Arabidopsis thaliana: one gene and its partners. The protein of the gene in region 1 interacts with the protein of each later gene in a pairwise test. Each region holds a gene or a part of one and is shown in the gene's direction. Other genes may lie near its edges.

Region 1 (8,212 bases):
TCCACCTCGTTTAGCTTCCGGCTCGAACAACTTGAAGATTCTTCTTACTTCTCCAGAGATCCCATTCGTTGTACTTGTTTGATAACTGCATCAACAACAATTAAAAACTTTTATCAATACATATGAAAGTTTACGTCGAACAAATTTGATGTATATATCTCTTTTTTTTTTTTCATTTAAAGTAGTCCACAAAATTGATTTTGCTGACTAAACAAAAACCAGGATATTACTTGTATAAAGAAATCAAGAAACTGAATCTTACGTAATGAAGTGTGAGTTTAACGCAAGTGATATACGAATCTCGTAGCACCACAAGAAAATTGATAGGGACATCCTTTGTTTGATGCGCATGTTTTCTGTATTTCACAATTTTGTTTTTTAAAATATAATATACTTAGTCCTTATATGTGTTGTTTTGAATGTGTATTCACATTTCTAGATTGTTTTTGCTATAAGTAAATCAATTCTCGTTATCAACCATTATTTTGGAATCTATCCGAAAAAGTTGACGAATCATTCGAATAATTTCTTATTACACTTACTTAAAAAAACCAATAAGTTATTATTATCTTGATATGCAATTTGAATGACTAATGATTCTTTGTTAACTTACCAAACGAGTATAGGTGAATGTTAGAAAATCGAAAGTACGGATACTGTTCTAGCGATCGGCAAAGTTAAAGAACTTGAACATGCATGCGCTATGATTTTTTATATAAATCACTAAAGTAGTTAAGTTAGTGAATATTAAATCATAGTGATACCAAAAAAAATACATAAAAGGACACCACAATCCTAAGAGGTAATAAATCTTCTTCTTCTTGTTTTCTTCATTCCATAATTAATTAATCCAAAAACGAGAGCCACCAAATCGATCCATAATCAAAATTTTCCAATTAAATCAATCCATATAACTATCTCTGTCGAAAACGACTAATCTAATTTCGTACATTACCGTACACTAATGCAGTCATCTAAGGAAACTTATCTTGCGAATAATTACTATTATTTCATTAAACCAACCAAATTTTATTACATAACAAATTACCCGGTTATCTAGGTACACAAGTTGACACAATGGTAGATATTAATAAAATCAAGAAAGTTCCATATAAACTAATCATTACGTTACTATCGTAAATCCTATAAATTCCCATCTCATGTACCTTCTTCTACAATATCCTTCATCCTTAAAACACTAACCTTCTCTGAAAAAAATCCAAAAAATGGTTTATAACACTTCATGCCTTATTCTTCCTTTGGCTCTCATCATTCTTGATTTTACCTTAATCTCATCATTAGCCCATCCGATTCCAAGCACACTCAACGTCTTATCCTACGGAGCTAAACCAGACGGCTCAAAAGACTCAACCAAAGCCTTCTTAGCCGCATGGGACGTTGCTTGTGCATCCGCTAATCCTACAACTATAATCGTACCAAAAGGACGGTTCTTGGTCGGGAACCTTGTTTTTCATGGCAACGAGTGTAAGCAAGCGCCAATATCTATTCGTATAGCAGGCTCAATCGTTGCTCCGGAAGATTTTAGAATTATCGCAAGCTCAAAACATTGGATCTGGTTCGAGGATGTTACTGATGTTTCAATCTACGGTGGAATACTTGACGCTCAAGGCACTAGTTTGTGGAAATGCAAGAACAACGGTGGCCATAATTGTCCTACCGGTGCCAAGGTATGCTTGACCCACAAGAAACAACAAATTTAACTCTCATGAGGTTTTTAATTTTTTTTTTTGTTAATCTTATTTGTAGAGTTTGGTGTTTAGTGGGTCAAATAACATCAAAATCAGTGGTTTAACGTCGATCAACAGCCAGAAATTCCATATAGTCATCGATAATAGCAATAACGTGAACATTGACGGCGTTAAGGTTTCTGCTGATGAGAATAGCCCTAATACCGATGGGATTCACGTCGAATCATCTCACTCCGTCCATATCACTAACTCAAGAATCGGAACCGGTGATGATTGCATCTCCATCGGTCCAGGATCCACTAATGTATTCATACAAACCATTCGATGCGGTCCAGGCCACGGCATCAGGTAACACACACATACATTTCTTGCTCCCCATCTTTCTTGATATTTCACTTTCTAAAATGTTCTCTTGTTTTTTTTGTTTGTGTGAACTCTCCAACAGTATTGGAAGTCTTGGACGAGCAGAGGAAGAACAAGGAGTAGATAATGTGACCGTGAGTAACGTGGATTTCATGGGAACGAATAACGGAGTTAGGATCAAAACATGGGGGAAAGATAGCAACAGTTTCGCTAGAAACATTGTTTTCCAACATATTAACATGAAGATGGTCAAGAACCCAATCATTATAGACCAACACTACTGTCTTCATAAACCTTGCCCTAAACAGGTAAGAATATTTATTAATTAACCATATCTTTACACCCATAACTCGATATATTGACTCATTTAATCTGTATATTAATTTCTATTATTATAGGAATCAGGAGTTAAAGTATCAAATGTGAGATATGAAGATATACACGGGACTTCGAATACGGAAGTGGCGGTTTTGTTAGATTGTAGTAAGGAGAAACCATGTACCGGTATTGTAATGGACGATGTGAATCTTGTCTCTGTTCATCGACCGGCTCAGGCGTCTTGCGATAATGCAAATGGATCAGCGAACGACGTTGTCCCATTCACTCCTTGTCTAAAGAGGGAGATCATTATAACTTAACTATAAATGGATCGCTGAACGACGTCGTCCCGATTGCTCCATGACTAAAAGATGAGTTCATGTAGATATATCTGCGAACGACGTTGTCCTATTTGCTACTTGTTGTTTGATCGTTGAGAATCTTTTTTTTTTCTTTTTTCTTGTTTTGTTTTTGATAATTTCTTTGAGAATCTTTGTAATCCAAACTATGAAGTAATGATTAAATTTTGGTTCGCATACTACATATAGATGATTTCTGTAGTAATTGTGTCTATAGATATTTTGAGAGATATGGACCAAACAACTTGTGAAAAAGTAACATAATTGGATGAAATAGAAGGTGATGGAAATATATGGGTGTGAATTAAAGTAAAACATAAACTAACTGGAAAATGATTAGTATACATTAATGGTTGATTAATAGCCGACCCATTAAGGCATTAACTATTCTTATACTATACTATAATTAACCTATGGAGCATATGAGATTTGATACTATTATTACATAAAAAATTAGTGGAGTAGCACCATATTTTTTAGTTTTTAATATTTAAAATTTACCATCATCCTCTCCACTTCACTAAAAAAAAAGTCAAAAACCCACTTTCTCCAGGTTGTATTCCATTATATTAAAGTTTTATCTTTTAATTAGTTTCATCTATATATAATCTACATGGGATTATAATCCAATCAAGGCTTTACCTCCAAAATAGATATTTTGTGTAACGAACTTTTTGGTTAATTTCGTTTATGGATAATAGTCTCAATTAATTACAAAAAGATAGAAAATTTAAACGGACTATATACGATCGTTTGTTTGCTGTGTGACTTGTCGTCTTCTTCTTCTGACTCAACCTCCATTGACCAACCCTCCAAAGACGGCAATGTGGGTTTTATTCTTAATCCATTGATCTCTTGTTGTGAGGTTTTTTGAGAATTTGCGTAAAGGAAGAAACTTTTTCAAAACTTTTTTTTGCATCAATGGAGAACATAACCGCGCAGCTCAAACGAGGTATCTCAAGACAATTCTCAACTGGTTCGATTCGTCGAACATTGAGCCGACAGTTCACGCGTCAGTCATCTCTTGACCCTCGTAGGACCAACATGAGGTTTAGTTTCGGTCGTCAGTCTTCTCTCGATCCGATCAGGAGGAGTCCTGATTCTTCCAAGAGTGATGACGAGCCACATATGTCGGTACCGGAGAATCTCGATTCGACGATGCAGCTTCTCTTTATGGCTAGCAAAGGTGATGTCAGAGGAATCGAGGAGCTTCTTGACGAAGGAATTGATGTTAATAGCATCGATCTTGATGGCCGGACGGCGCTTCACATCGCCGCTTGTGAGGGACATCTTGGTGTCGTTAAGGCTCTTCTTAGCCGGAGAGCTAACATTGATGCTCGTGATCGATGGGGAAGTACGGTCTGTCTTCTTCTCTTAACCCTCTAGATTCGAGAAGTTGACATTTAGGGATAAAGTTGACATTTTTATGTTGTCTGGTGAATTAGGCGGCTGCTGATGCAAAGTACTATGGGAATTTAGATGTTTACAATCTCTTGAAGGCTCGAGGAGCTAAAGTTCCGGTAAGAAATTTTCATTGATTTTGGATTCGATTGGTGTTTTGTTCATGTGTTTGTTTTGTGAAAGGCTTTTATCTTCACACTTATAGAAAACTAGGAAGACTCCGATGACTGTGTCGAATCCACGAGAAGTTCCTGAGTATGAGCTTAATCCACTTGAGGTTCAAGTCAGGAAATCTGATGGCATCTCAAAGGCATGTTCTTTGCTCTCTTAGATAGACACATTTGTGAACATCATTGTTCTTGGAGCAGGTTTGATTTATTCAAATCAATGGATGTTGTTTGATTGTTTTCAGGGAGCATATCAAGTAGCTAAATGGAATGGCACGCGGGTTTCAGTCAAAATACTTGATAAAGATAGTTACTCAGACCCGGAACGCATGTATGCATCTACTACTTGTGTCCTTTATTATGTGTTACATTTGAGTGATCCACCCCTAAATTTTGTTTGCTAAGCTGTGTGATTTGGTTTGGCATGAAGAAACTGATTCTGCTTTGTCTTTCTGGCTTTTAATCTGAACAGAAACGCATTTAGACATGAATTGACGTTGCTAGAAAAAGTCCGGCATCCAAATGTTATCCAGTTTGTTGGAGCTGTCACTCAGAATATACCGATGATGATTGTAGTCGAGTATAATCCGAAAGTGAGCATCTTTACTTGTCTTCTCCCTTCTGAGTTTACCTTTATTCACTAATCATCTCAATGTCGTCTCTGTTGCAGGGAGATTTAAGTGTATATCTCCAAAAGAAAGGACGTCTTTCTCCATCCAAGGCACTTAGATTTGCTCTTGATATTGCCAGGTATGTTAGATTCTCATGTATTGCTGCTAAGGTTACTGTAACTGTGAGTACCTCACCGGATGGTTTTCGTGGTTTTTCTCGTGTCAGAGGCATGAACTACCTCCATGAATGTAAACCAGATCCAATCATTCACTGTGATCTAAAGCCAAAGTAAGAGAATTAAAGGCATATGTCGATTAGATACGTTAAAAGCTTTTGGTACATACTCATTGAGATGTTTCTTTTCGTTTAATTTTTCGAAATTTTTCGTAAGGTGTCAGAAATATTTTGCTGGATAGAGGAGGGCAATTAAAGATCTCAGGATTTGGTATGATAAGATTGTCGAAAATTTCACAAGACAAGGCGAAAGTAGCAAACCACAAAGCACATATAGATCTCTCTAGTAAGGAGAATGCTTCATTCACATGCATGAAAACTGAATCTCTTGGTAAGATCTATGATCATTGAAAAAAATGCATTCTTGATTGCAGATTACTACATTGCACCAGAGGTTTATAAAGACGAAATATTCGACCTAAGGGTTGATGCACACTCCTTTGGTGTCATTTTATACGAGGTACATTTCCTCGTCTTGCTCTGTTTTTTTATTCTTGTGTTTCTCTAATCTTGTTAGTGTGCGTTTCTGGTCAGATAACAGAGGGAGTACCAGTTTTCCATCCGAGACCTCCTGAAGAAGTTGCGAGAATGATGTGCTTAGAAGGAAAGAGACCTGTATTCAAAACTAAGTCAAGAAGTTACCCTCCAGATATAAAAGAGTAAGCTCTAAAACTATTTGGAACCAAGAATTATCTATTGCCTATGCAAGAACTTGGAGTGTCGGATTCTTAACCTGTTATATCGCTTACTCTGCAGGTTGATCGAGAAATGTTGGCATCCAGAAGCGGGTATTAGACCGACATTCTCTGAAATTATTATTCGACTTGACAAAATAGTAGCAAATTGCTCTAAACAAGGATGGTGGAAAGACACATTCAAGTTCCCTTGGTAAGATTTCATCTTCTCATATAATCTATAGTTAAAGCAGAGAGGAAAGATTGTGTGTGTTTTAATGTTTTCTTTCACAGGAAATAAAAGGGGAAGAAGAAGGAGGGAGAAACAAGAAGAGCGTGAGATTTGTGGACAAAATCCGATTCAGTGTTTCTCAGTCATATGAACATGGACAAACTCACTTGCTATGTATATTTTTTGTGTAGAACAAAAAACAGAAGATAATTTCTTCTTTTTGTCATTCCACATCTTTATGGGGCTGTATGCATAAGTTTGTATAGTTTATAAACGCGTTACTGTATAACAAACACAAGAACTCCGGCTCGTTGCAATTAGAGGATGAACAAACAACAGATGAAGAATCATTTTGAAAGGTTTTATTGAAATATCCATCAAGAGATATAAAATCTTTGCTACTTTATCATGTGCTTAACTTATTTGATTTGAATTTTTGATACAAATTCGTTAATGTTGATATCTGTAGAACCTCCTTCACTGAGTGACTTCACAGCCAAGTCTCTCCATTTTCCCGCATTCTCTTTCATCTCTTTGCTCTTCTCTCCTTCCATCACTTCCTTGATGCTAAACTCAATCTCCTCTCTTTTGCAAATGCCACTTTCTTTCTCTGCTTTCACACGAACCCCAACCTTCCATACATCTTGTATATACTTTGCATTCATTGGTTGATCAGTCCATTGAGGCATAGCCACCATGGGAACCCCTAAACTCAAACCCTCCATGGTTGAGTTCCAGCCACAGTGAGTCATGAAACAACCGATGGCTTTGTTTGACAGAACTTGAAGCTGAGGACTCCACTTCAAGACCAAGCTCTTGTCTTTATCCACTGTTTCAAGAAACCCTGGTGGGAGCTTTGACTCCTCTGAAGCTCTGACAACCCAGAGGTAGCTGAAGTTGCTTATCGCCGAAGCAATCTCTTCCATCTGCTCACTACTCAGTTTAGCCATGCTCCCAAAAGCTATATATACTACCGATCCTTCTGGCCTCTTGTCTAGCCAGTCAGTGCATAAGGCAGCTTCTTTTAAGTCAAAGAGGTTCAGATCATAGTCGTTGTCTGATTTGATCTGTTGGTCTAAGTACATTGATGGAACAGTTGGACCAATTGTCAACACAGGACATACTTTCGACAACAACTCCTCTTCCTGTAGACGGAAATCAGAGAACAGAAAAATAGTCATTAGGTGATAAAACAGAGTAGCTAAGGGAAAAACAGGGTAGCTAGGTCAAAAAGAACAGAGTAACTAGGGCAAAAACAGAGTAGTTAGGAAATGAACTAACATGAAGGTCGAGGTCATGGAAGGAATTAACGAGTACGAAATCAGCTTTGTCGAAGTTGGTGAACTGTTGAAGCACCATCTCAAAGTAAGCAAGGTGTGAACCAGTAGGAGTGACGAAAGTAGGCAAATCTTGGAGCTCAAGAAGAGGCAAATCCTTGATGGGAAGTGTCAAGCTACCATTGTTTATGTAAGAAAGATAATTGATATAGTTAACGGCGCAAGACTGCGTGAAGAAAGGAGCCGCAGCTAGACCAAAATCCATTGCAAGGTCAAGCGCCCAAGGCATGAAAGAATCATAGACGATACAAGTAATAGGGTTATCAGTACTCTGGTGTTTGCGGATGATATCAGCGACGGTTTTGGAGCCGAAGGTTTTGAAGTTTTGTAGGTACTCCGGGACAGAACCGGCTGATGAGAACCCTCCCTGGTCATAGCCATCGGAGATTGTGGCTATGGAGATAGGACTAGATGGGTCGAGGTGGATTGTGTTGAAGATAAAAGTGGTGAGAGTGTGAGTGGTTTTGAAACCTTTGGAGTGAAGTCGTTTGCAGAATTGGCGAATCGGGGTGATGTGTCCTTGGCTTGGAAATGGCACTGCTAATACATGTCCTCTCATCTTCTCCATCTCTCTCTCTCTCGTTATCTCTCTCTGTCGCTCTCAATCTTTTGCTTTCCGCAGAACGAATAAAGGGATATTGGGAATATACATATATTAATAGACTTGTGAGGTTCTTCCAGAAGACAACAGCTTTTCATCAGAGCAAGAAAAGAAAATGGTCCAAAAAAAAACTAAATAAGGGTGACAAGTGAAAAGCTTGGATTTTAAGTTTTATTTCTTTTTACTTTATTGTGTTATCTTTGGG
Region 2 (7,693 bases), about 18 Mb from region 1:
GATGGAGAGTTGAAGATAACAACACATGGGAGAGGATCTTCTCGGTTGATTTGGTTTCTACTTCCACTTGGTTTGGTGGTATCACCAAGCAGCCTCTCACACCTTTAACCATCTCCAGGGACACCAATAAAGTCATTCTCTCACTTCGCTGTCAAGATAATCTCGTTGCTCTCGATCTTGATCCAAACTCTTCAGTTTGCCATTTGTATTTTTCTGGTTACTACGGCTTAGTATGTCCTTATTTTCCAACTTTTGTCACTTGCCACTGAAATTTTAGCAAAGTTTGTAGCTCTTTTCTAGACAAAAATTAAAAACTGGCCATTATATTATATGGTCTTTATCCAATAACTTGAATGAAAATCAAATTGTATGACTTAATATATATACTAACTCCGTTAACACAATGCTCGGTAGGATTCTGAAAGAAAGAAACCAAAGAAACACTCACTACTATTAACTCCTTTTAAAGTAAAAACTTTGTCATACCAAATCAAACAGTATGTAGAGTTAACGGAGCATAAAATTTTGACAATATTGTCGTCACACCACTCAGTGTAAAGGCGAATGCTAGTACCAAGAGCAACTCCAACCATAACACACCAAATTAGGTGTTAATGCCATGGAGGCTCTTGTGAGATACACTCACAAAAAGGCTTGATCTCTCTTATCTGGCATTGGGTTAATGCCATGGAGGCTCTTGTGTGTACTTTCAAAATGTTTGGGCCTTTGTGTTGCAAACTGAAATTTATGGCCCTCTGTTTTGGCTTTAGGATATATTTACAACATAATAAATTACACAATTCCAATTAGAGATTTGTTCTTAGTTTTGAGGCTTTTTGACTTAAAATTTGAGCCATGAATAATCTTTCTTCTTTTTTCATCATAGATAATCATAGATAGAGTATAGAAATATTATATTTGATTTTTTTGTGTGTGTTTAAACCTGAATTATATTTGATCTAAGACTAACTATTTCAACTGATTATGAGTCCATCAAGTGAAACTACCTATACCACATACGACATTTATGGTTTTTTTTTTAATCAAACAAAAAAAATTATTGTATATTTTGGTTAAGAGATATGAAGTGAAATCACGTGTGAGTAAGAAGAAAGAGACATGAAATCATATATTAATTAATTATTGTAAATTTTGCACAAAAAAAAGAATTAATTATATATAAATATATATATATATATATATATATATATGTGTGTGGTATCTACATAATTAATTATTCTTCTTGTGATTGTAATATTTTGTAATATTTTTCACTATATGTAAATATGTGTGAGTTATTCGACATTTATGGTTTTATAGTTTCCAAAGGTATCAATATCACTGTTTGGATATTGAAGCTAAAGTAAAGAGAGAACGTAAACGAAAGAGTAGAGAGAAACTAACTCAGTTAACTAATAAAACCAATTGTACAAGTAGATTGATTAATTCAAGAAAACAACTAATTTGTTAACAACTCCGTTTAACAAACTAACAAACTCACAAAACTAAAACTAAAACAAATTTGTTAAATTATTATATATTTTTAACACTTTTATGTCTTTGTAGTATATATTATTGAATTTTCTTGTCAAGTAAAGTTTTTGGATTTGTTTGGATAAAACTGGGAGTTTAGGAAAATAGAGCAAATCAGCAAAATGCATCAAATGAAAAAAGATTGAAGATCACGACCGACCTTGACAATCGTAAGAGTCAGTACATAAGATGTCCAGAACTGATCGGTTACATACTTGTACCGATCATTATAAAAAATGTTTCTTAGTTTAGGATTCCGACTCATTGCATATAAATTCTTAACACTTTGTAATCGTATAGGCAGATTGTTTTGTTTTTTTTTCTGTGATTATCTAGTTTTTCTATATAAAATTTTATAAACAAAATGATCGTTTGAAGAATTAGAGCATATTTGTCATTTGTTATTTTGACTAATCCATCTCCATTCAAATTGTCCAATTATGTTTAGTCAAATGAGTTTGAAAATTTTGCCTAATTTAATCATCCAAATGAGCAAAAGAATAAAGCCACACATTACTTACTAATAATATTAAAGCCCACATTAAAATAATTTCTCACGTAAAAAACAAATACTTACACAAACCTATATAATCTAGACTCTACTTCACTTGTTTGCCCTAAACCATCTATCATCTCTCTTTCAATTCATCTACACCTTATTTTTATATTTCTCAAATACTTTTCGAGAAAATTATATACCCTTTTTAATATACGACGAATGAAATCGCAGGAAGATAATCTTCTACTTGTTCTTCTACTCGAGGGGATAAAAAATTACGGACTTAAGAGATGGGATAAGATACTAGCATCACTTCTTCTATCCCAGCGAAGTATCGCTAAATGTAAAAAAAAATTCTAATCTTTCGTTAAACGAAAGGTAAATTATTTTCTCGAAAAAATTTGTGTATAGAATTAAAGGTTTTCTTTAGTCAATAGCTAATCAATCTTATCATTTATTTTCTACTAGTTTCTTATTTGCACAATACATTTGAGAAAATTATGTTATGTTTTCAAGAGTTTTGGGTTTTTGTAGAGTATTAGATAAAATCAATATTTTCTCTCTTGAGACTAGTTTCTTCTTTGCACCATACATTTGTGTTCTTTTTCATTTTCTCAAAGCTGTTTGTTTTACCGAATTTTCTCTTGGGTTGTGGAGAATATTTTTTTTTTTTAGTTTTTATAACACCTTATCTTATATAAAAACAAAAGAGTTTGTTTTTACAAGGGATGATGGATGATGAATCTATAGATGGTCGTAGTACCACACTCTCTATGGACTCAAGTTGTGGAGAATCTTTTTTTTTTTAGTTTTTATAACACCTTATTTGATATAGAAACAAATGATTTTGTTCTTACAAGAGATGATGGATGATGAATCTATAGATGGTCGTACCACATTCTCTATGCACCCTATGAATCAAGTTGTGGAATCAATCAAAGTTGGCCACATATAGTTATGAAATGATTTTGTGATAAAAACACAAATTAATTTCTATGTGAATCACAAAGAAAATATATATATATATATATAATTCCCATTTGAAGTTTAAGCACAGACCTTAGAAAAATATGTAAACAAAGCCGATGTCTATAGTCCAATAAAAACAAATTTCGCCGGGAAAAGGAATATAAAAAATTTGTCACATTTACCAAAAAATAATAGGAGAGTTTATATAGTTTCAACGTACAATTAATGATCTAGGTTATCGAGTTTTAATTTCCATTTCTCCTAATTTTGCTGACTTGAGCTACATATTATTGAGCATTCTTGTTCTTTCAGGGTTTATAGAGAGATTGGCTGATAATTACTGTTTGTTATCTGAGTCCCCAAACGATTTACTGATATCAACAACGTATTGATGATGTATTGTTTTAGAAACACATATATGTAAAAAAAAAATTCTTGATTAGAGTGATATCAACAACTTGAGACATGGACAGGTAACAGGTTGATCCACAATTCTATCTTTACGTCATAATAATAACAAAAAATTCGTAAAAAGATGAGTTTTGTTAATTACTTCTCTTATTATAATCAAAGTTTTGATTTTTATTTTCCAATAAGTCGCCGGGAAAAGTAAAATAAAAAGCCGTCACGTCTCCGATAAATAATAGAGTATCGTTAGATAGGTAGCTTCAACGTAAGGAATCTAAATTGGTTCAGCTCAAAAAACGAAAACGATGGGTTCCATCGAAGAAGAAGCAAGACCTCTCATCGAAGAAGGTTTAATTTTACAGGTTTGTTCAATTTCAATTAATCACTTAGGTTAGCGAATTTTGATTTTACTCAATTCCAAAATCTTGACTTTAGATTGATCTTATGCATTTTCTTTCTGGGTTTATTGAGATCTTTTCTGGGCAATCACTGTTTTATCTAATTGATGATTCCAATGTTTGAATTTTGCAAGTAGATATAGATCAAAGTTTCGAGCTTTGATACAGTTATAGTTTAGTTAGCTAATCAAAAATGTTTTGTGAATTTGTTTTAAGTAGGAAGTGAAATTGTATGCTGAAGATGGTTCAGTGGACTTTAATGGAAACCCACCATTGAAGGAGAAAACAGGAAACTGGAAAGCTTGTCCTTTTATTCTTGGTAATGAATGTTGTGAGAGGCTAGCTTACTATGGTATTGCTGGGAATTTAATCACTTACCTCACCACTAAGCTTCACCAAGGAAATGTTTCTGCTGCTACAAACGTTACCACATGGCAAGGGACTTGTTATCTCACTCCTCTCATTGGAGCTGTTCTGGCTGATGCTTACTGGGGACGTTACTGGACCATCGCTTGTTTCTCCGGGATTTATTTCATCGTAAGCATTGCTTCTCTGTGTAATGTTTGGTTTGGTTTGTTTGCTCCTGATTACTGATAGGTTTTTGTATTTGTTTAGGGGATGTCTGCGTTAACTCTTTCAGCTTCAGTTCCGGCATTGAAGCCAGCGGAATGTATTGGTGACTTTTGTCCATCTGCAACGCCAGCTCAGTATGCGATGTTCTTTGGTGGGCTTTACCTGATCGCTCTTGGAACTGGAGGTATCAAACCGTGTGTCTCATCCTTCGGTGCCGATCAGTTTGATGACACGGACTCTCGGGAACGAGTTAGAAAAGCTTCGTTCTTTAACTGGTTTTACTTCTCCATCAATATTGGAGCACTTGTGTCATCTAGTCTTCTAGTTTGGATTCAAGAGAATCGCGGGTGGGGTTTAGGGTTTGGGATACCAACAGTGTTCATGGGACTAGCCATTGCAAGTTTCTTCTTTGGCACACCTCTTTATAGGTTTCAGAAACCTGGAGGAAGCCCTATAACTCGGATTTCCCAAGTCGTGGTTGCTTCGTTCCGGAAATCGTCTGTCAAAGTCCCTGAAGACGCCACACTTCTGTATGAAACTCAAGACAAGAACTCTGCTATTGCTGGAAGTAGAAAAATCGAGCATACCGATGATTGCCAGTAAATATCCGCTTCATTGCTTTCCAGTAATGTATAGCTTTACTTGGTTTAACAAGTTATTCTGGTATGATGCAGGTATCTTGACAAAGCCGCTGTTATCTCAGAAGAAGAATCGAAATCCGGAGATTATTCCAACTCGTGGAGACTATGCACGGTTACGCAAGTCGAAGAACTCAAGATTCTGATCCGAATGTTCCCAATCTGGGCTTCTGGTATCATTTTCTCAGCTGTATACGCACAAATGTCCACAATGTTTGTTCAACAAGGCCGAGCCATGAACTGCAAAATTGGATCATTCCAGCTTCCTCCTGCAGCACTCGGGACATTCGACACAGCAAGCGTCATCATCTGGGTGCCGCTCTACGACCGGTTCATCGTTCCCTTAGCAAGAAAGTTCACAGGAGTAGACAAAGGATTCACTGAGATACAAAGAATGGGAATTGGTCTGTTTGTCTCTGTTCTCTGTATGGCAGCTGCAGCTATCGTCGAAATCATCCGTCTCCATATGGCCAACGATCTTGGATTAGTCGAGTCAGGAGCCCCAGTTCCCATATCCGTCTTGTGGCAGATTCCACAGTACTTCATTCTCGGTGCAGCCGAAGTATTCTACTTCATCGGTCAGCTCGAGTTCTTCTACGACCAATCTCCAGATGCAATGAGAAGCTTGTGCAGTGCCTTGGCTCTTTTGACCAATGCACTTGGTAACTACTTGAGCTCGTTGATCCTCACGCTCGTGACTTATTTTACAACAAGAAATGGGCAAGAAGGTTGGATTTCGGATAATCTCAATTCAGGTCATCTCGATTACTTCTTCTGGCTCTTGGCTGGTCTTAGCCTTGTGAACATGGCGGTTTACTTCTTCTCTGCTGCTAGGTATAAGCAAAAGAAAGCTTCGTCGTAGTAATGCTGTTATCTATCTACTTTCATTACATACAAAAGTTTGTTTCTTTCAACTGTAACTGTCTCTGTATCAATAACAACATTGCTGTGTACTTTTCCTTTCAATTTCAAAAGTTTAAGTCGCATTTGCAATATTATAAACAATTCAGGGTTCGAATACTAAATTGAGAGAAATTGTCCATAGGCTTAGTAAATCAAATGGGCTTTTGGCCCATATCAAACGGGCACAAATATGACCCGGAGAAGAAGAATGTTCCGGGTCAATAAAATCGAAGAAGAAGAAGAGAGTATCGTTGTGAGGTTTGGGGATCGCGAAAATGGAGGTTCCAGGTTCATCGAAGAAGATGATCGCAACGCAAGAAGAGATGTCTGCAGCTAAAATAGCACTTGGATCTAGAGATATGTGCGCTCATCTCTTGATTCCGCTCAACAAATGTCGTCAGGCTGAGTTTTACCTTCCATGGAAATGTGAAGACGAGCGTCACGTTTATGAGAAGTGTGAATACGAGCTTGTTATGGAGAGAATGCTTGCGATGAAGAAGATCCGTGAAGAAGAAGCTTTGGCTAAACAGAATAAACTACAAGGAAACGCTGCTGTTCCTCTTATCCCTAAAACTGCTAATGCTTAGGATTCGATTCCTTCTCCAATTTGCCGATTCCAGATTCCGGTTAGTCTATAGTTTTTCGATTTCTTGTGTTTTGGTTGATTTGATTGAATTGGTTTGTTTCTTCTGCTACATGATCAGATCTTCGTGTTCTTCAAATTCCAAATTAGGGTTTCATTGGGAATAAATGAGATTGCTTGTTCAATTAGATGTCTAATGCATTATCTTGGTTTTGAATTGTGAATTCTCTCGTCTTAGCAATTTTGTTGCCTCTGTTGTGAACATTTGACTACAATTGGATTCAATTTCTCTTAGACTGCAATCACAATTGTTCTGTATCAATCATGTTAGAGAAATGTCTGGACTTTGTACTTCTTGTTGTAAAGTATCTCAATGATATCTGAAGTTTGGATAAGGAAAATTCCATCATTGACTGGATTTTCTACAGATTTTGTTTTTTCATGATGTTTCCTTTTCAAAGCTTAATAGATAAGTCTTTAAGTAATCAGTAGCACTAATTTGCTGGAACCTTTAGACTATATAAGGATTTAAGTGTGTTTTACTGATTAACAGGACACAATTCAATTCGTTAGACTATATCTTTTATGTTTGCAAGTTATATGTTCGATGAACTTGTAAATAGTGTCTCAGATATCATGACTAGCAATTGTTACAGTGACTTTGTGTTACAGACCCGTAGAGGATATAAGAGTGTTTCACTGCTTAACAGGACACAATTCAAGTCGTTAGACTATATCTTTTGTGTTTACAACTTCTTTTGCCCGTTCTCTGTTTTAAGATCTTGTAATCTGATATCATGACTAGCAATTGTTACAGTCGCTTTGTGTTACAGACCCTTAAAAAGGATACAAGAGAGTTTCACTGATTAACTAGACCCAAGTCTATTCGTTAGACTATATCTTTTATGTTTGATTTATGATCTCACACTTCTAGGCTTTGAAATTCTTATGATTGATATATATCTTTTGTGAACTTGTAAATTGTGTCTCAGATATTCATGGCTAAGAATTGGTACAGTCACTTTGTGTTACTTATAAATCCGTGAGAAGAATTGTATAATTACAGCACCAACTACATACCTGTGTCTAAACGTTTTCTGCTTTGTTGTTTTGGTATTTTATGTCACAACAGCTACAGAACAAATCTCTTAATGTCTCTCATCTTCTTGTTCTCACTTGCCATTGAGTA
Region 3 (8,534 bases), on another chromosome or scaffold:
CATCAAATAACTTGTCACAAGCACTTTTTCTGCATATCCGAATTCGATGATGTGAAGAAAATGGTTGTACCAATTTTCAATTGCACATATGTCTGTCATTTTCAGATTATGTTACATGTAAAAACCAAGTATGGTTATTATATTTTGTTTTCAAAATGAGAATCAAAATAATAGAAATCAGTAAGTATTTCTTATCATGGTAGTTTACTTTGATTGGTTATCTTATTCTGTGTAAGCTCTCGACGATTTTATTCATATTTTGAAATACTATACAAAAGTCATGATGTGTGTACATTTTCCATTAGGACTTTCTAGACTTGAGCATTATTTTCCTTGATAGCTTCATCGACGTTTAGGCCCTGAAATCCAAATAAACAAACTCATAATTAAAATCCTGCTTTTCTAAAGTAACAAAGAATATTAAGTGATAAAGATTGGGAGAAATAATTACGGAAAATAATCAATGTTAATAATCCCAGCGACAGGATTAGCGATCTGAGCAAAAGCTTCTCGAGAAAGATCGAGCGTAGAAGCACAGCCACTGGGACAATGGTCAACGATCTTGACCTTCACGGATTTCCCCGTGCAAGGGTGAGGCACGGCGTTACGAGGTCCGCTGCATTTCACGGTGAACATTTTGCCACAAACTCGACCATTGTCCCATAATGTATCACTCGCTGCAGCGATCATCACTCCTTCTTGAGTACCTCTGTAACATGCTGATGCTATCAAACATGAAATAAAAGAAAATGATTTTATAACATTTCGCTGTAGGTTGATATGAAAATGTATAAGATAAGTTTGTTGTTTGTATTTGTTTTATAATTTTGGTAGTAAAACACACAAAAATTCTTACGAGTGTAACTTGTGTAAAAAGTTGCAATCCCGGGAGTTGCATATGAGAAAGAGAAGAGAAAAACAAGAACGGTAGAAAAAAACACAATACTTTTACTCATGATTCGTATTTATTTGTAAGAGTGTTTATCTTTGAAATGTGACATATCTATTTATATATCTGCTATATATTATATGACTAACTCTAAATATGCATGTATTGTAATTGTTTGCCATTGAAATATCTTTGACTGTTCCCATTTTTTAACATGTGTATAGTTGTAAATTTGTTATATTTAATTTCTTCTTATCTGTGTTGACTAAAGGTTTAGAAAGATTGTTATCCTCATTTGATAGCAAATTTACAGCCAAAGACTCCAGAAAACGTTTACTAACTACGCTGATCAAATTTGCCACGTAAATTTATATGAACAATCTCATAAAAACAATTCATCAAAAGGAAAAAAACTCTCCTTTTATAGGTCCTAAATGTAGTGAAATCAATATTTATGGACTAGTACATATGGAACAGTTATGAGGCGAGCGTTAATGGGCCGAACGAGACGATAAGAGACATTATTCTAAACCAAGCTCAACCACGAAGATAACCGGATCATAACCGCAAAATGAACCGGAATAAAACGTGAGAAACAACGAGATAATATTAAAAATGATGCAAAGAATTTCTGAATGTAAAGGTAGGTATGGTGACATAAGGAATGGAGTTACCGAGGAAGCTGCCCTTGTCGGATTGTCCTTATCACTTCCCACTCGGCATTACCAGATAGGAAGCTCAGAGGACAGAGATAATAATTGGAACCCAAAACTGAACCCTATTTTATATAATCTCATCACCAATACTTTATCCTTAAATGAAGTCTGGTTTCGCCCTTTGTTTTCTCCTCTAGTTTTCTTGTAACGCCAAACTACATTCTGTATGATCAAAATTTAGTAACATAATTTATCAGAACCCCATTGTTTTAAAACGTGTCTGTGTATTTGTGTTTATATACGCTTAATCTTCTTCTTTCTAGTTAAATTTAATCAATTTAATGAAAAATTTGGTATATAAAAAAAAAGACTTTGCTCACGAGTTCCTCTCATAAGGGCCAAAACTAGTTAAAAAGTTATCGTCAAAAACTGATATAAAAAAGATGTCCGAATATTCCCGCATATAAATATCTATCAGACAAACTCTTTTGTACAATATACTTTGAATCCGATAAATTTTCGATCTTCAAAATCCATAAAAATCTCTCCTTTATTTAGCCCTAAAACAGAGTATTAGAGTTTGATTCGTAAAAGAGAATATTTTTAATCTCCGCCGCAAGTCGATGTCGATAACGATTCCCTACGATGGCTCAATCTCCCGCGAGCCATCACCGTCTCCACCGCCGCCAAAAGCGAACACGAAGAATCTACCGACGAAGATTCTCTCTAACTTCCTCATAGGTCTAATCATGATCCCTGTAGCTATAACCGCTTTTATCTTTATCCTCACGTCTCTCGGTTTCACCTTCTTCTTCGCTTTCTACTGGTTTCTTCAACGAAACTATCGCCACCGTCTCCGCCGCCATCGCCGTCACGAATACTCAGATGGGTTATCTCCAAGATGCGTGAAGAGGCTTCCTCAATTCAAGTATTGTGAGCCTAGTTCAGAGTACGGAGGCGATGATTGTGTTGTTTGTATCGATGGATTTAGACAAGGACAGTGGTGTCGGAAGCTGCCTCGATGTGGACATGTGTTTCACCGAAAGTGTGTGGACTTGTGGTTGATTAAAGTCTCGACTTGTCCGATTTGTAGGGATAGGGTTTATAGATTTGAAGAAGGAAGAAGATGGAGACCACAAGGTGAAATTTTTTGATCGGTGGTTTTATAATTAGATTTGAAAGTGTGTTTAGTTTGTTATCATATTTAGCAGCAATTTTGGTTTTCATCAATAGTCATGTACAGTGTCTTTTTTTTTTTTTTACACGGCTTCACAATTGAAAGCTTGTTTCTTCACCGTTTGATGAATTTGATCCAATAAGAGAATGATGGGTTTCTGTAGAATTTAACTTAGTTTGAGGTTTGATTATCATGCCAATTATTAAATTCAATCTAGTCAATTACTGATAGAAATGTTGTCCATTTGTCACTTTAAACATGTTGCTTATGTTACCTTAATGATTTCTCATAATTTCACTTGAGATTCAGTGGTTAATCATCAATGTTTCTGTTTCAATTTGTCCATGATGAAGTATAAGTTCTAAGTAAAGCTTGGTTCATGTGATTTTAATTTACCTACTTCACCTCCAAAGTTATGTCAACTATGTTTTCAAGTGTGTGATTCAAAAGTTTATATTGAACATAAAAATAAAGGAGGCTAAAGAATCGTTTTCTGATTGGAATGTGAGATTGTGACTCACACGGAGAAAGTGATTGTGATTGGATCTGACTATAAGACTAAAGAAGTGTTTTTGTGAAGTAACAAGTAACATTGTCTAATTAGTGTTTTGTATTGTAAACTAATAATGACTTTGATTAACGAAATAATGTCACTTTAGTCAAATGTGTTGACTTTCTTGTCTTATACCGATGGCTCAAGTATTCCCAAGAAAAAAAAACAAATATCCCTCCGATTTCTGACTCGTCCCGTGACTCAGTGATTCTCCTCTTCCAATCCTCTCCGGAAGAACTAAACAAAAACACGATCTTTCTCAGATTTAGAGAGAGTAAGAGTGAGAGAGTGTCAGAGACACGAATCAAAGAAATGATTTTTAAAAGCTTCTGTTAATTCTAATTTGCATAGATTTGTTTACTCGAGCTTGAGCTTGAGCTTCTTCTAATGGAGTTAAGGAAGGACAAGCTTCTTATGTAAGTTTTCTTTCTCTCATCCGTCGGTTAGACTTACGTTCCTGAAAGTCTTCAACTTTGATTGCCCAGAAATTAAAAATTCTAGACTTTGCTTTAGATTTATCTCTTCTTTAGATGTTACAAGCTCAAGCTCCGATTTTGGGTACTGGGTTTAACTTAAATCTCTAGTTAGGTTTCAGATTACAGATTTGAGTTGTGTATTGCTTTGTAGGTTTTACTCAGAGGGGAAAGAAAGCAAAGAAGCTAAATGGGCAGTGAATGATCCAATGAGCAAATCTTATAAGCTCTCTTTACCTTCAGCACTAAGACCTGATAATCTCTTACCTGGAAATAGACTTAGATACACTGATGCTTCTAAGTCCAAATCTTCTAAAGTCTCATGGTACAAGACTATTCTTGATCCAGGAAGTGAGATTGTCTTGAAATGGAATTGGGTCTTCATTGTCTCATGTATGGTTGCTCTCTTCATCGACCCGTTGTACTTCTTTGTCCCAGCTATAGGAGGAGATAAAAACTATCCTTGTGCAAGGACTGATACAAGTTTAAGCATCCTTGTTACTTTCTTCAGGACAATAGCGGATCTTTTCTACTTGCTGCACATTTTCATTAAGTTTAGGACTGGTTTCATTGCGCCTAATTCAAGTACTAGAGTGTTTGGTAGAGGTGAGCTTGTGATGGATCCTAAGGCTATTGCTTGGAGGTATATTAAATCTGACTTCATCATCGATCTCATTGCGACGTTACCACTTCCACAGATAGTTATCTGGTTTGTTATATCGACTACAAAAAGTTACCGGTTTGATCATAACAACAATGCTATTGCTTTGATTGTGCTCCTCCAATACATCCCAAGATTCTATTTGATAATTCCGTTAAGTTCTCAAATTGTTAAAGCAACTGGAGTTGTTACAAAGACTGCTTGGGCTGGAGCTGCTTATAATCTTTTGCTATACATGCTGGCTAGTCATGTATGAATCCCATTCCTTCTTCTTCCATTATTTCATTCCTTAAATGTGATGATAATCAAAGCTACAATGTTTTTGTTGGGACAGGTGCTTGGTGCAGCCTGGTATATATTATCGGTTGATAGATATACATCGTGCTGGAAATCAAGATGCAATGGTGAAGCTGGCCAAGTTAATTGTCAGCTATATTACTTAGACTGTGATTCAATGTATGACAATAATCAGATGACTTGGGCAAATGTCACAAAAGTGTTTAAACTCTGTGATGCACGGAATGGCGAGTTCAAGTATGGGATCTTTGGGAATGCAATCACGAAAAACGTTGTGTCTTCACAGTTCTTCGAGAGATATTTCTACTGTTTGTGGTGGGGATTGCAGCAGCTTAGGTAATGGCAGAGATCATAGAAATTTTTTGATACCAATTATTACTCTCCTTTTGATTACAAGTTTTAGAATCTGATGACATTTTCCTGTTATTGTCATATTCTAGTTCTTATGGACAGAATTTGTCCACGACCATGTTCATGGGCGAAACCACATTTGCTGTTCTCATTGCAATCTTTGGTCTTGTCCTCTTTGCCCATCTCATTGGGAATATGCAGGTATGGATTCCTGCGTTAGGATAAGTTCTAAAAGTATCTGCTTTTGTTCTTATGTTTCTTGGGTTTTGCCTTTTGTTTGTTAGACATATCTGCAATCTTTGACTGTACGGCTTGAGGAATGGAGATTGAAGAAGAGAGACACTGAGGAGTGGATGAGACATCGTCAACTTCCTGAAGAGTTGAGAAACCGTGTGAGGCGATATGAGCAGTATAAGTGGCTTGCAACAAGAGGAGTCGATGAAGAGGTTCTCCTGCAAAGTTTACCCACTGATCTTCGCCGTGATATTCAACGTCACCTATGTTTAGATCTTGTTCGAAGAGTAAGTTTTTCTATTGATTTGTTTATCCTACAAATGGTTCAACTTTTAGGTTAACTACTATCTTGAATCATGCAGGTCCCATTTTTCTCTCAAATGGATGATCAGCTGCTTGATGCGATATGTGAGCGCCTGGTTTCTTCTCTGTGTACTGAAGGGACTTACCTTGTACGTGAAGGTGACTTGATCTCAGAGATGCTCTTCATCATCAGAGGTAGACTCGAGAGTTCCACAACCAATGGAGGCAGAACCGGTTTCTTCAACTCGATTATACTTAGACCTGGAGATTTCTGTGGGGAAGAGCTTCTTTCTTGGGCTTTGCTTCCAAAATCAACCTTGAATTTACCATCTTCTACAAGAACAGTTAGGGCTTTAGTTGAAGTCGAAGCATTCGCTCTTCGAGCTGAAGATTTGAAATTTGTTGCAAATCAGTTTAGGCGGTTACACAGCAAGAAGCTTCAACATACATTCAGATTCTACTCTCACCATTGGAGAACTTGGGCTGCTTGCTTCATACAAGCGGCTTGGCGCAGGTACAAGAGAAGAGTTATGGAGAATAACCTCACTGCGATTGAATCAATGGAAAATGAAGAAGGAGAAGTAGGAGAAGAATTAGTAGTAGTAGAAGAAGAAGAGTGTGTTGAGGAGAGTCCTAGAACAAAGATGAACCTTGGAGTTATGGTTTTGGCATCGCGTTTTGCAGCTAATACAAGACGCGGTGTTGCAGCTCAGAGAGTTAAGGATGTAGAATTACCCCGGTTTAAGAAACCCGAGGAGCCTGATTTCTCTGCTGAGCATGATGATTGACTGATGTATAACCAGGAGAAGAAGCTGACTTTGTTCCATAGAAGATCTTAATGACAAGAACACTACAGAGTAAGTTTCCTGTTCCTTTGGGAGACATAAAGAAAGAAACTCAAGGCGGGTTTTGGTTTGTACACTTAAACATCTTTTGTAATATAAGCTTGGAGAATTAGTTTTGTTGTACTATTAAAGAACTCGTTTCTAAATTCTCTAAATGTAAAGATGAGGAAGTTGAAGTGGATTATGTACAAATCACATCAAACCTTGCAAAATTGATTGAACCAACAAGGAAGTAAAAAGATGTCTAAGCCCATTCGTCAAAGCCCCTATATGCCGTGGTTACTGACTTACTGTAACGTTGAGAATAAGATGGTAAAGAAAGAAAAAATATATTTTCTTGAGCATGTTGCATATTGCTATCGACACAAGCTTCTTTTTAAAGAAAGGTAGACTCACTTAATCAATAGACATAAGATCATACTAATGATGAGTTTGGACTTTGGTCCATGGGAAAAAGTTAAAATGTTTACTTGCTTTCTCTACTGACCTAGATATGTCGGATCAAATCATAATCTACATTACAGGATTACATACATATTTGGGATTTTTCTTTTTGCAATATGGCCACAAGACCAGCTCAATGTAATCATGGATTCTTAGTCGATTTAAAAAGTTGTAAATATTTTAAACTAACATATTGAAAAGTTTCTGAAAATTTCTTGTCCCATATAATATACAAATAAATTTTATGGTCTTGAATGACAATAACAATATAGTATGGCACAAGAAGTTAGATTGAACGGAAACTGAATCATGAAAACAATGGTTTTCAACAATCATAATTATAGTAACATATATTAATATTTTGAATCGTTTATTAATATGTGAAATTTTTAAACATGCATGCATATATTAAGAGATGACATAGTAGTTGTACCTTATAGTGTGTAGTTGCTCACTAGAGAAGTTAAGTTCATGTCCCCTTTCCAAAAAGCTCAAATTCAACATTAGGTTTCAATCATGTAAGGTTGAGATCCGCGACCCCTTTTAGTTATAACATAATTTAATACATACTTATATTCGTAAATCATTATCTTCACATCCTTTTCATGCCTATAATTACAATAATTAAAAGAGAAAAGGCTAGAATATATATTAAACAGGAAATAGGTCTTTGAGTAAAGTTGCAGCATTTGCTACATTATTTTATTTTCCACTTGAAGACTATTCAATTACACTCTCACATTGATGATATTATGAGTTTCTTTTTGTCACTTCAAGATCAAGTATTGGCATGGTGTATGATGAATCTTTCTGTGAGATAAATTGAATCTAATTTAATATTTAAGAATTTTCAACTACTATAGTGTCCAATAGCTTAATCTTTCTCACTTTTGACAGGATATATTTAAGTAAGAAAAAATATTTAACTAAGTGAGGAGGCATAATGCAAATCCACCAAAAAGATAGAAAGAGAGAGACCATAAGGTCCATTTATATAACTAAATAATTGAATGATATAAAGGCATGTTTTGGTTTGTCTTCTCCTTGTTCTAGTGCTTCTCTTTGGCAAAAATCCTTTATTTCAAAATAATATTAAACTATATCCCCTTAATAATTTGTTGTCAATAATTAGGTTATCAGTTGCTTTATTTCAAACAAATCCGTATTTTTTAATACTTGAAAAGAATTGGAGATGCTTTTAGTTATGTATAAACAAAGTACCACAAAACTTCAGCCTTATCTTCCACTCATAGAATATTACTAATAGTATGTAATATCTAAAAAGGCGAAGGAAGTAAAAGGCAGTTTTGGAGGCTTTGTCTTCAAGTGTCTAGCAGAGAACCGGAGTTATACGACCTGTAAAAGCCAAAAATAAAACACGACTATTGCATCAACTTGTTTCAGTAATTCAAAATATATATCAAAAAAAAAATTGTATACTTAATAAGTCGTCTAGAAGACTTTCAAACAAATAAAGACATGTACTTAAAATCTCGAAATTATTTACTGTGTCGAAAATTGTCTTTCATCAATTAGATTTAGATGTACTATGCAGCCACTACAATATTGAAAATTTCATTAAAAACATATATATATATATATATATATATACGTAGGCATATGGACCATGTGAATTCACTAGGCATGCATG
Region 4 (7,091 bases), about 18 Mb from region 1:
CCAGCAAACCTGTATTGAACCGGAAATTGAGTCACACATATAACTTAACCGGATTGATAAATTCAATTTTGTCTTGGTTAATATTTCATCAATTTTTGTTTTGGTTTACCTGGACATTAGCACCGGTTACGATATTGGGCTTATCATAAGGAAGCCCTTGGGCCTTACGCTTATTCTGCCATTGTCTCTTAAAAGCCAAACCGGCCAACATAATCGCCTCCGACGATCCGACGGTGCCAACACCAACGGCAGCTTCACCGTCACCAAGCGGCGCGTTGAAGAGACGTGCTATCATGTTAACACATCGGTTCTGAAGCTCAGTGGTGACAGGGTACTCGTCCATGTCGACGTAGTTCTTGTTGATGGACTCCATCATGAGCTTGTCACATTCTGGCTCCATCCATGTGGTCACGAAGGAAGCTAGGTTCAGCCTTGGGTTACCATCGAGCATTAGCTCGTCGTTGATGATTTGGTAAGCTGCTTCTTTTGGGATTGAGTTCTCAGGCATTTCGAATCTAATGATGAAATGATGATACATTAAGTTAAAATAACGAAACATGTCCTTCCTTATAGTATATAACACATAATAAATCTACAACATTAACCACGGCCAAAAAAAAAACTATCCAAGGTTTACATCATTACATGTTACTATTGTTGACGAAAACATTAGACAAAAGATTTGTGTTACAAGTTGTTACCGTGGAAGAGAGTTGCGGACGTAACGAGAAGCAAAAGTTGAATGGATTGAGACATCAGATTCGGAAACTGTCTTAGACAAAACCATGTCTTCTTTCAACTTCGAACTTTGATTTTTGGGTTTGAAATGAACAAGAGGAAAGAATGTGTAGTAGTGTTTTTGTTTTGTAGTTGAAGAAGAATGTGTGGAATTAGAGGAAGAGGAGCAAATGGTATATATAGTAGAGAGAATGTGTCTCTTCATTTCGTGTTTTGCATCGTGAAAGGAAGCATCGCTGGTCCTTATTTATGTGCTCCTTTTTCAAACCTTTTCCTTACCAATGACTTTTCCTCATTATAATATTTAGACCAATGAATTACTAACTTTTAGAAACACGAATACTTTTATTACTATCGTATACAAATTCCGACCGTCATCTTTTTATTGGATCTTTCTAAGTTATCGTGAACATTTTATTAGTGATTTTGATTTTGTTTATTTAGCATCTCCCGCGATTTGATCAATTTCACACTTACATAATTATGTGAATATTACAAACGCGTTACGCGTAAAATGTGAATATAGTACTAGATTATATTGTTTTCGTGATTCCTTTTTGCTGTCAATGGAATTTATACCAATAAGCTAGAAACCAAATTCGAACTTATATTGGTATCACCACTAAAGGACATTGACTTTTTGTTGTAAGATCTCATATTACCATCTCTAAAGTATAAAAATTCAAATAAACATCAAACCCATGGTCTGACCTAATTAAACAAATAAAGTTAGGCGATTTATCAAACCTCCCACATGTTTAGACTAGCTTTAGAATAGCCCTAGCTTGGGTTAATTTTGTTGAAAACTAGAATCCACTAGCCCTAGCTTGGGTTAATTACGTTGAATACTACAGCTTGATCAGCATTGTTTCTAGATTACCTTTTTTTTTTTTTTTTCAATTGTACATAGGATTTACTTATATTTTCGAATGGATACATGAAACAAGAATACTTCATCATATATGTTTATATTTTTTAAAAAATCAGATTTTATAGACAATTCTATTTTGACTATTCAGGATATTATTAAATACAGTTTTCATTTTCTTTATCTATCTTGTTTTTATTTTTTGACTGAAGGACTTGTCAGTAACAAAAGTAAAACAACAGGTTTGTTATATCTTGTTTTTTTTTGTCTCCCCCAAATGATTTTCAGAAATAAAAATATTTGTGAGTGGCACTCATACGTAATTAAGAGGCAGGGAATGGGGCATAACTGGCAGTAAGAAACAAAAGAAGAAAAATAGTAAAAGTCAAAAGTCGACCCATCAGTCACTCTCTAACGCGTTAGTCAATGGGAACCGGCAAATGGAGACCGAGACGCCACTCGCCGAACCGGCAATTATGGGTAACCGCCACCGGTTTACTTCTCTAAAGTTCTGACTTTCCTTAATTATTGCAACACGAATTTTGAAATGGCCAATTAATACATGCTCTGTTCGGTTTTGTTTGTACTAGTCAACTATTAGCGACCGAATTATTGACTATTCAATAGTTCAACGTTAAATTATTAAGGACAATTCAAAACTATTCCTTTCATATTCAACATTTTTATTTAGAGACAAAATCACCAATCCATAATTTAATTTATTTATTTATTAATCATTTAAGCGGTTCGAAAACTATATCACTAAAATCAATTGGTAAACCAATAAATTACAAAACGATCATGATTTACTAGAGCTTCTCGTTTTTGAGGTTGAAGACTGTTGGTCTCCCAAAAAAAAAAAATCAATTTACCCCAAAACTATTTTTATTTTGCATTAATTAATTATTATCATAAAACTTTATTAACACCATAAATTGCATTTGGTGCTTCAAAAAATAAAATAGTATTTATTTACTTAATTCCTTACCAAATATTTTATATCCAAGTTGTGGAGGTCATAAAATTGGCCCAACAAGTACAAATTAGGAAACCCACTAATATTTAAAGCCCAATAGGTCCACTCAATTTTGCAATTTCTTAAAACGTGTTGTTAACAAGAACACATTTTATGGTCCAGTGGTCACCGCCACCAACTTCTCGACTTCGAGAGAGACAAGAGTAATCCAACGATCTGGTTGATAGTGGTAACACTGTTCCAATGAGCATTTTTTGGCATATCCCTCAATATATCTTTATTGGGAACATCTAGCGTTTTGTTCTTTCTTAGTCGGCTTGATTTTTTCTATGAACAATCTCTAGATGCAAAATTTGTGTAGTGCTTGGACTCTTCACTCGGCTCATTGATTCTTACACTTGTTGCATATTTCACGACAATGAACCTTAGTAACGGTCATCTTGATTACTATTTTTGGCTTTTGGTCTGTCTTGGCTTTGTTAATTTACCGGTTTGGCTAGAAAGGTTTCGTAAGATTTGTTTGATGTCTTCTTTAAAACTTGAAGTCTCTAACTTGTTTGATAACTTTTGTTGTGTTAGGGGAAAAGTGTGCTATGGCTCAAAATTTGCTTAATGCTTAAGTCTAATCAGATTAATAAAGTTTGTGTGGTTTTATATTCCCTCTTTTTTTTTATAACATTTTTTAAAGAATGTGGTTCTGTGGTGAGTGACCACTCACACCACCAACAACAACTTGGTCAGTGGGAGGATCATTTTATTTGATCCTTCGTTGAGAAGCTTAAATCAGCTTTACGTGAAAATTGTCATGTTGAGGAGAAAGTAAAAAATGGCTTCCATTGATGAAGAAAGGTCACTTCTTGAAGTTGAAGAATCTCTTATACAGGTTCAACCTCATTGTCATTGTTTCTTTAGTGTTTTGGGGTCTAAATCTTTGTTGACTAATTCGTTTTTCTCCAGGAAGAAGTAAAATTATATGCTGAAGATGGTTCAATAGATATTCATGGAAACCCACCATTGAAGCAGACAACAGGAAACTGGAAAGCTTGTCCATTCATTTTTGGTAAACACTTTGTTTTATTTCACTTGTAATGTACTTGTTGTATTCTCTCATGTTCTGTCTTTAATCTCCAAAAACTGATATCTATGCTTTGGTTGGTGCAGCAAACGAATGCTGCGAACGGTTGGCTTATTATGGAATTGCCAAGAATCTCATCACGTACTTCACAAATGAATTGCATGAGACTAATGTTTCTGCTGCTAGACACGTCATGACATGGCAAGGAACATGTTACATCACTCCTCTTATTGGAGCTTTAATAGCTGATGCTTACTGGGGAAGATATTGGACTATTGCTTGTTTCTCTGCCATTTATTTCACCGTAAGCATTTTCTTGAAAAATAACTTTGCTTTATGTTCTGTTCTTGGCTTGATGTTCTGTTCTTTGATGTTGTTTTAAGGGAATGGTTGCATTGACACTCTCAGCTTCAGTTCCGGGTCTTAAGCCAGCGGAATGCATTGGCTCTCTATGTCCACCAGCAACAATGGTTCAGTCTACGGTTTTATTTTCAGGGCTTTACCTTATCGCTCTTGGCACTGGAGGAATCAAACCATGTGTCTCATCCTTTGGTGCTGATCAGTTTGATAAGACCGATCCAAGCGAACGAGTCAGAAAAGCTTCTTTCTTTAACTGGTTTTACTTCACTATCAACATTGGTGCTTTTGTTTCATCTACTGTTCTAGTTTGGATTCAAGAGAATTATGGATGGGAATTAGGATTCTTGATACCTACCGTGTTCATGGGACTTGCTACTATGAGTTTCTTCTTTGGCACGCCGCTTTATAGATTTCAGAAACCGAGAGGTAGCCCGATTACTAGCGTCTGCCAAGTTCTTGTAGCCGCATACCGTAAATCGAATCTCAAGGTCCCTGAAGACTCCACGGACGGTTACAAGAAAATCTTTTTCCCTCTCATTTCTTGTTTGAATTGAGCATTAGTCTATTAACGGTTAAATAAACGGGTTGTGATATCAATGTACAGGTTTCTTGACAAAGCGGCAATTATATCAGAAGGAGATGCAAACACTAACCCGTGGAAGCTATGTACCGTGACTCAAGTCGAAGAAGTTAAGATTCTGTTACGTTTGGTCCCCATTTGGGCCTCAGGAATCATCTTCTCAGTTCTCCATTCACAGATTTACACTCTCTTTGTTCAACAAGGACGGTGCATGAAACGAACCATCGGCTTATTCGAAATCCCTCCCGCAACTCTCGGGATGTTCGACACTGCAAGTGTTCTCATATCTGTCCCAATCTATGACCGCGTCATCGTTCCCTTAGTGAGACGGTTCACAGGCTTAGCTAAAGGATTCACCGAGCTACAAAGAATGGGGATTGGTCTTTTTGTCTCTGTTTTGAGCTTGACATTTGCAGCTATCGTTGAGACGGTTCGGTTACAGTTAGCTAGAGATCTTGATCTAGTGGAAAGTGGAGACATTGTTCCATTAAACATCTTTTGGCAAATCCCTCAGTACTTTTTAATGGGCACTGCTGGAGTTTTCTTCTTTGTTGGGAGGATTGAGTTTTTCTATGAGCAATCTCCAGATTCAATGAGAAGCTTGTGTAGTGCTTGGGCTCTTCTCACTACTACACTAGGAAACTACTTGAGCTCGTTGATCATTACCCTTGTGGCGTATTTGAGCGGAAAAGATTGTTGGATTCCTTCAGACAACATTAACAATGGACATCTTGATTACTTCTTCTGGCTTTTGGTCAGTCTTGGATCTGTTAACATACCTGTTTTTGTCTTCTTCTCTGTGAAATATACTCATATGAAGGTTTGATCTCTTCTTCTGGCTCTTGTGTGTACTTTCAAAATTGTTTTTTTTTAAACCAGCAAATCAGTTATATTAAATCATAACGGTTTACATGATACATACAACAACCATTCAAATATAACTATTGAAACAAATAAAGGAAATTGAACACAATTTTGATGAAGAAGTGTAAGTGACCCTGCTTTCGAAACGGAAGCCTTACAGGCAACAAAATAAATCTGTTAAGTCCTCTCATCATACACTCGCAAAAAGCTAACATCTTATAGATGAAACTCCTAAATGCTTTCTGCATTACTTTAATAAAACGAAGAATTTGGTAAGTTGCTCGAAATGGTTCTGAATCATGCTTTTTGAAACGCTCTGCACCGGTTAATGACTATGGATTTTCCTTTTACAAGACTCACTAACGGATTCAATCCATTAGTTTTCATTTTCTCTTGCGCCAATTTGTCAAATCTTCGAAGACATAATATTCCCGGAACCCATATTCGTCGACCGAAGCACCAGTTGTGAGGAAGAGTCGCTACGAGCCTCATTTGATCTTCGGCTAAAACCTCTTGCAACGGTTCACTAGGAAGCGCACCAGAGTCAATCGAAGATTGGCAATGTATTGCCAAATTGACATCGCAATGGGATGTTCCCATCACAGACATAAAAGATGCTTAGCGGATCCGTCGAACAACTTCTCCACACCGGCATCGAAATAGAAATTTACCGTTCCCATGAAGAGAAGGAGGCAAAGAAATCGGCTCCATTGTAATGGAAACCATAAGAAAATTTTATGAAAGAGAGACATGGCAGTTACTATGAAATGATTAAACCGCACCAAGAGAGAAGAGAACAACGCACTGGTCGTATGTTTGATGCAACATACGTTGGTGATGGTGCCCATGATGTTTGCGACAAGATCTGCTTCTTCATGGTGATGATGGTCACAACAAGTTATGTTAATCTTGCTTGACGACGGATCGTGATTTGTTCGAGACAGGCCCGTCTCTGGGGGTGGCAAGGTAGGCAAATGCCTAGGGTTACTAACTAATTTCAAAAAAATTGTTAAGACTAAAAGGCCCCAATATTTCAAAAAAAAAAATTTACTAAGAAATTTTATTTTATTTTGGGTTTTGCCATAGGTCCCATAATGAATTGAGCCGGGAGACTGTTTGGTCAGTTTCGTCACGACAGATTTTGGACAACCCAACCAATGGTGTAATGAGTGGCAAAACCAGTTCTCGCGGCCAACAAGATGAGATATCCGGCGAAAAACATGAACCGACACCAACGTAAGGAGAAGAGAGAGAAAGACGATAATCGCCAAAATAATCACTCACAAATTTGTTTTTATTTTATTTTAGGGGAATTTAGTTAAATTTTGAATTATTATAGTTCTTGGATTCAGAAGTTATTTACGTCAATCTAAGATTTGAGTTAATCTAGGCAAATCTTAGTATTATTTACTATGTAAATGAATTACATTATTCCAATTAGAGATTTGTTCTAACAATTTTGTAGTTATTTTAATCTTAAAAGTTTGAGGCTTTGAGCCATGGATAATAACGGAAAACAATTCTCAAATAAAAAAATAACAAAGAAACATTAAACTATATAGATATATACATCATAATTCACGTTGATTCCAGCCACTCTTTATGACGGTTACAAAGAAAATATGGAAAC

What was found.
Region 2: the proteins of AT2G43850 (region 1) and PTR2 interact in a protein complementation assay, tested with the Arabidopsis thaliana proteins (one large-scale study listed by BioGRID).
Region 3: the proteins of AT2G43850 (region 1) and CNGC17 interact in a protein complementation assay, tested with the Arabidopsis thaliana proteins (one large-scale study listed by BioGRID).
Region 4: the proteins of AT2G43850 (region 1) and PTR4 interact in a protein complementation assay, tested with the Arabidopsis thaliana proteins (one large-scale study listed by BioGRID).

What each region holds. Positions count from the first base shown.
Region 1 is NC_003071.7:18,157,443-18,165,654, reverse strand, and holds AT2G43850 (Integrin-linked protein kinase family), read left to right. Parts: upstream 1-3,472; 5' UTR 3,473-3,670; coding exon 3,671-4,108; intron 4,109-4,194; coding exon 4,195-4,269; intron 4,270-4,355; coding exon 4,356-4,460; coding exon of another isoform or gene 4,461-4,464; intron 4,465-4,562; coding exon 4,563-4,648; intron 4,649-4,789; coding exon 4,790-4,910; intron 4,911-4,987; coding exon 4,988-5,067; intron 5,068-5,154; coding exon 5,155-5,217; intron 5,218-5,327; coding exon 5,328-5,449; intron 5,450-5,537; coding exon 5,538-5,623; intron 5,624-5,697; coding exon 5,698-5,822; intron 5,823-5,919; coding exon 5,920-6,051; coding exon of another isoform or gene 6,052-6,055; intron 6,056-6,131; coding exon 6,132-6,138; 3' UTR 6,139-6,473; downstream 6,474-8,212. Other genes in the region: AT2G43865 (uncharacterized protein), read left to right, coding at 1-82; AT2G43860 (Pectin lyase-like superfamily protein), read left to right, coding at 1,227-1,688, 1,768-2,057, 2,155-2,380, 2,471-2,710; UGT74F1 (UDP-glycosyltransferase 74 F1), read right to left, coding at 6,489-7,214, 7,351-7,974.
Region 2 is NC_003071.7:483,828-491,520, forward strand, and holds PTR2 (peptide transporter 2), read left to right. Parts: upstream 1-3,570; 5' UTR 3,571-3,714; coding exon 3,715-3,771; intron 3,772-4,026; coding exon 4,027-4,344; intron 4,345-4,422; coding exon 4,423-4,979; intron 4,980-5,054; coding exon 5,055-5,880; 3' UTR 5,881-6,114; downstream 6,115-7,693. Other genes in the region: AT2G02030 (F-box family protein), read left to right, coding at 1-2; AT2G02050 (NADH-ubiquinone oxidoreductase B18 subunit), read left to right, coding at 6,197-6,508. UniProt on the Arabidopsis thaliana protein: Peptide transporter. Mediates the transport of di- and tripeptides. High affinity, low capacity transporter. Can also transport histidine.
Region 3 is NC_003075.7:14,852,908-14,861,441, reverse strand, and holds CNGC17 (cyclic nucleotide-gated channel 17), read left to right. Parts: upstream 1-3,422; 5' UTR 3,423-3,662; coding exon 3,663-3,691; intron 3,692-3,902; coding exon 3,903-4,659; intron 4,660-4,743; coding exon 4,744-5,042; intron 5,043-5,146; coding exon 5,147-5,258; intron 5,259-5,341; coding exon 5,342-5,578; intron 5,579-5,653; coding exon 5,654-6,382; 3' UTR 6,383-6,748; downstream 6,749-8,534. Other genes in the region: AT4G30380 (Barwin-related endoglucanase), read right to left, coding at 353-359, 452-725, 857-956; AT4G30370 (RING/U-box superfamily protein), read left to right, coding at 2,169-2,699. UniProt on the Arabidopsis thaliana protein: Probable cyclic nucleotide-gated ion channel. Forms a functional cation-translocating unit with AHAs that is activated by PSKR1/BAK1 and possibly other BAK1/RLK complexes. Required for PSK-induced protoplast expansion.
Region 4 is NC_003071.7:475,709-482,799, forward strand, and holds PTR4 (Major facilitator superfamily protein), read left to right. Parts: upstream 1-3,268; 5' UTR 3,269-3,408; coding exon 3,409-3,465; intron 3,466-3,539; coding exon 3,540-3,642; intron 3,643-3,743; coding exon 3,744-3,961; intron 3,962-4,040; coding exon 4,041-4,527; intron 4,528-4,621; coding exon of another isoform or gene 4,622-4,650; coding exon 4,651-5,423; 3' UTR 5,424-5,477; downstream 5,478-7,091. Other genes in the region: GAD4 (glutamate decarboxylase 4), read right to left, coding at 1-9, 110-515, 702-943; AT2G02023 (uncharacterized protein), read right to left, coding at 5,759-6,070; AT2G02026 (uncharacterized protein), read left to right, coding at 6,199-6,378; AT2G02030 (F-box family protein), read left to right, coding at 6,627-6,697.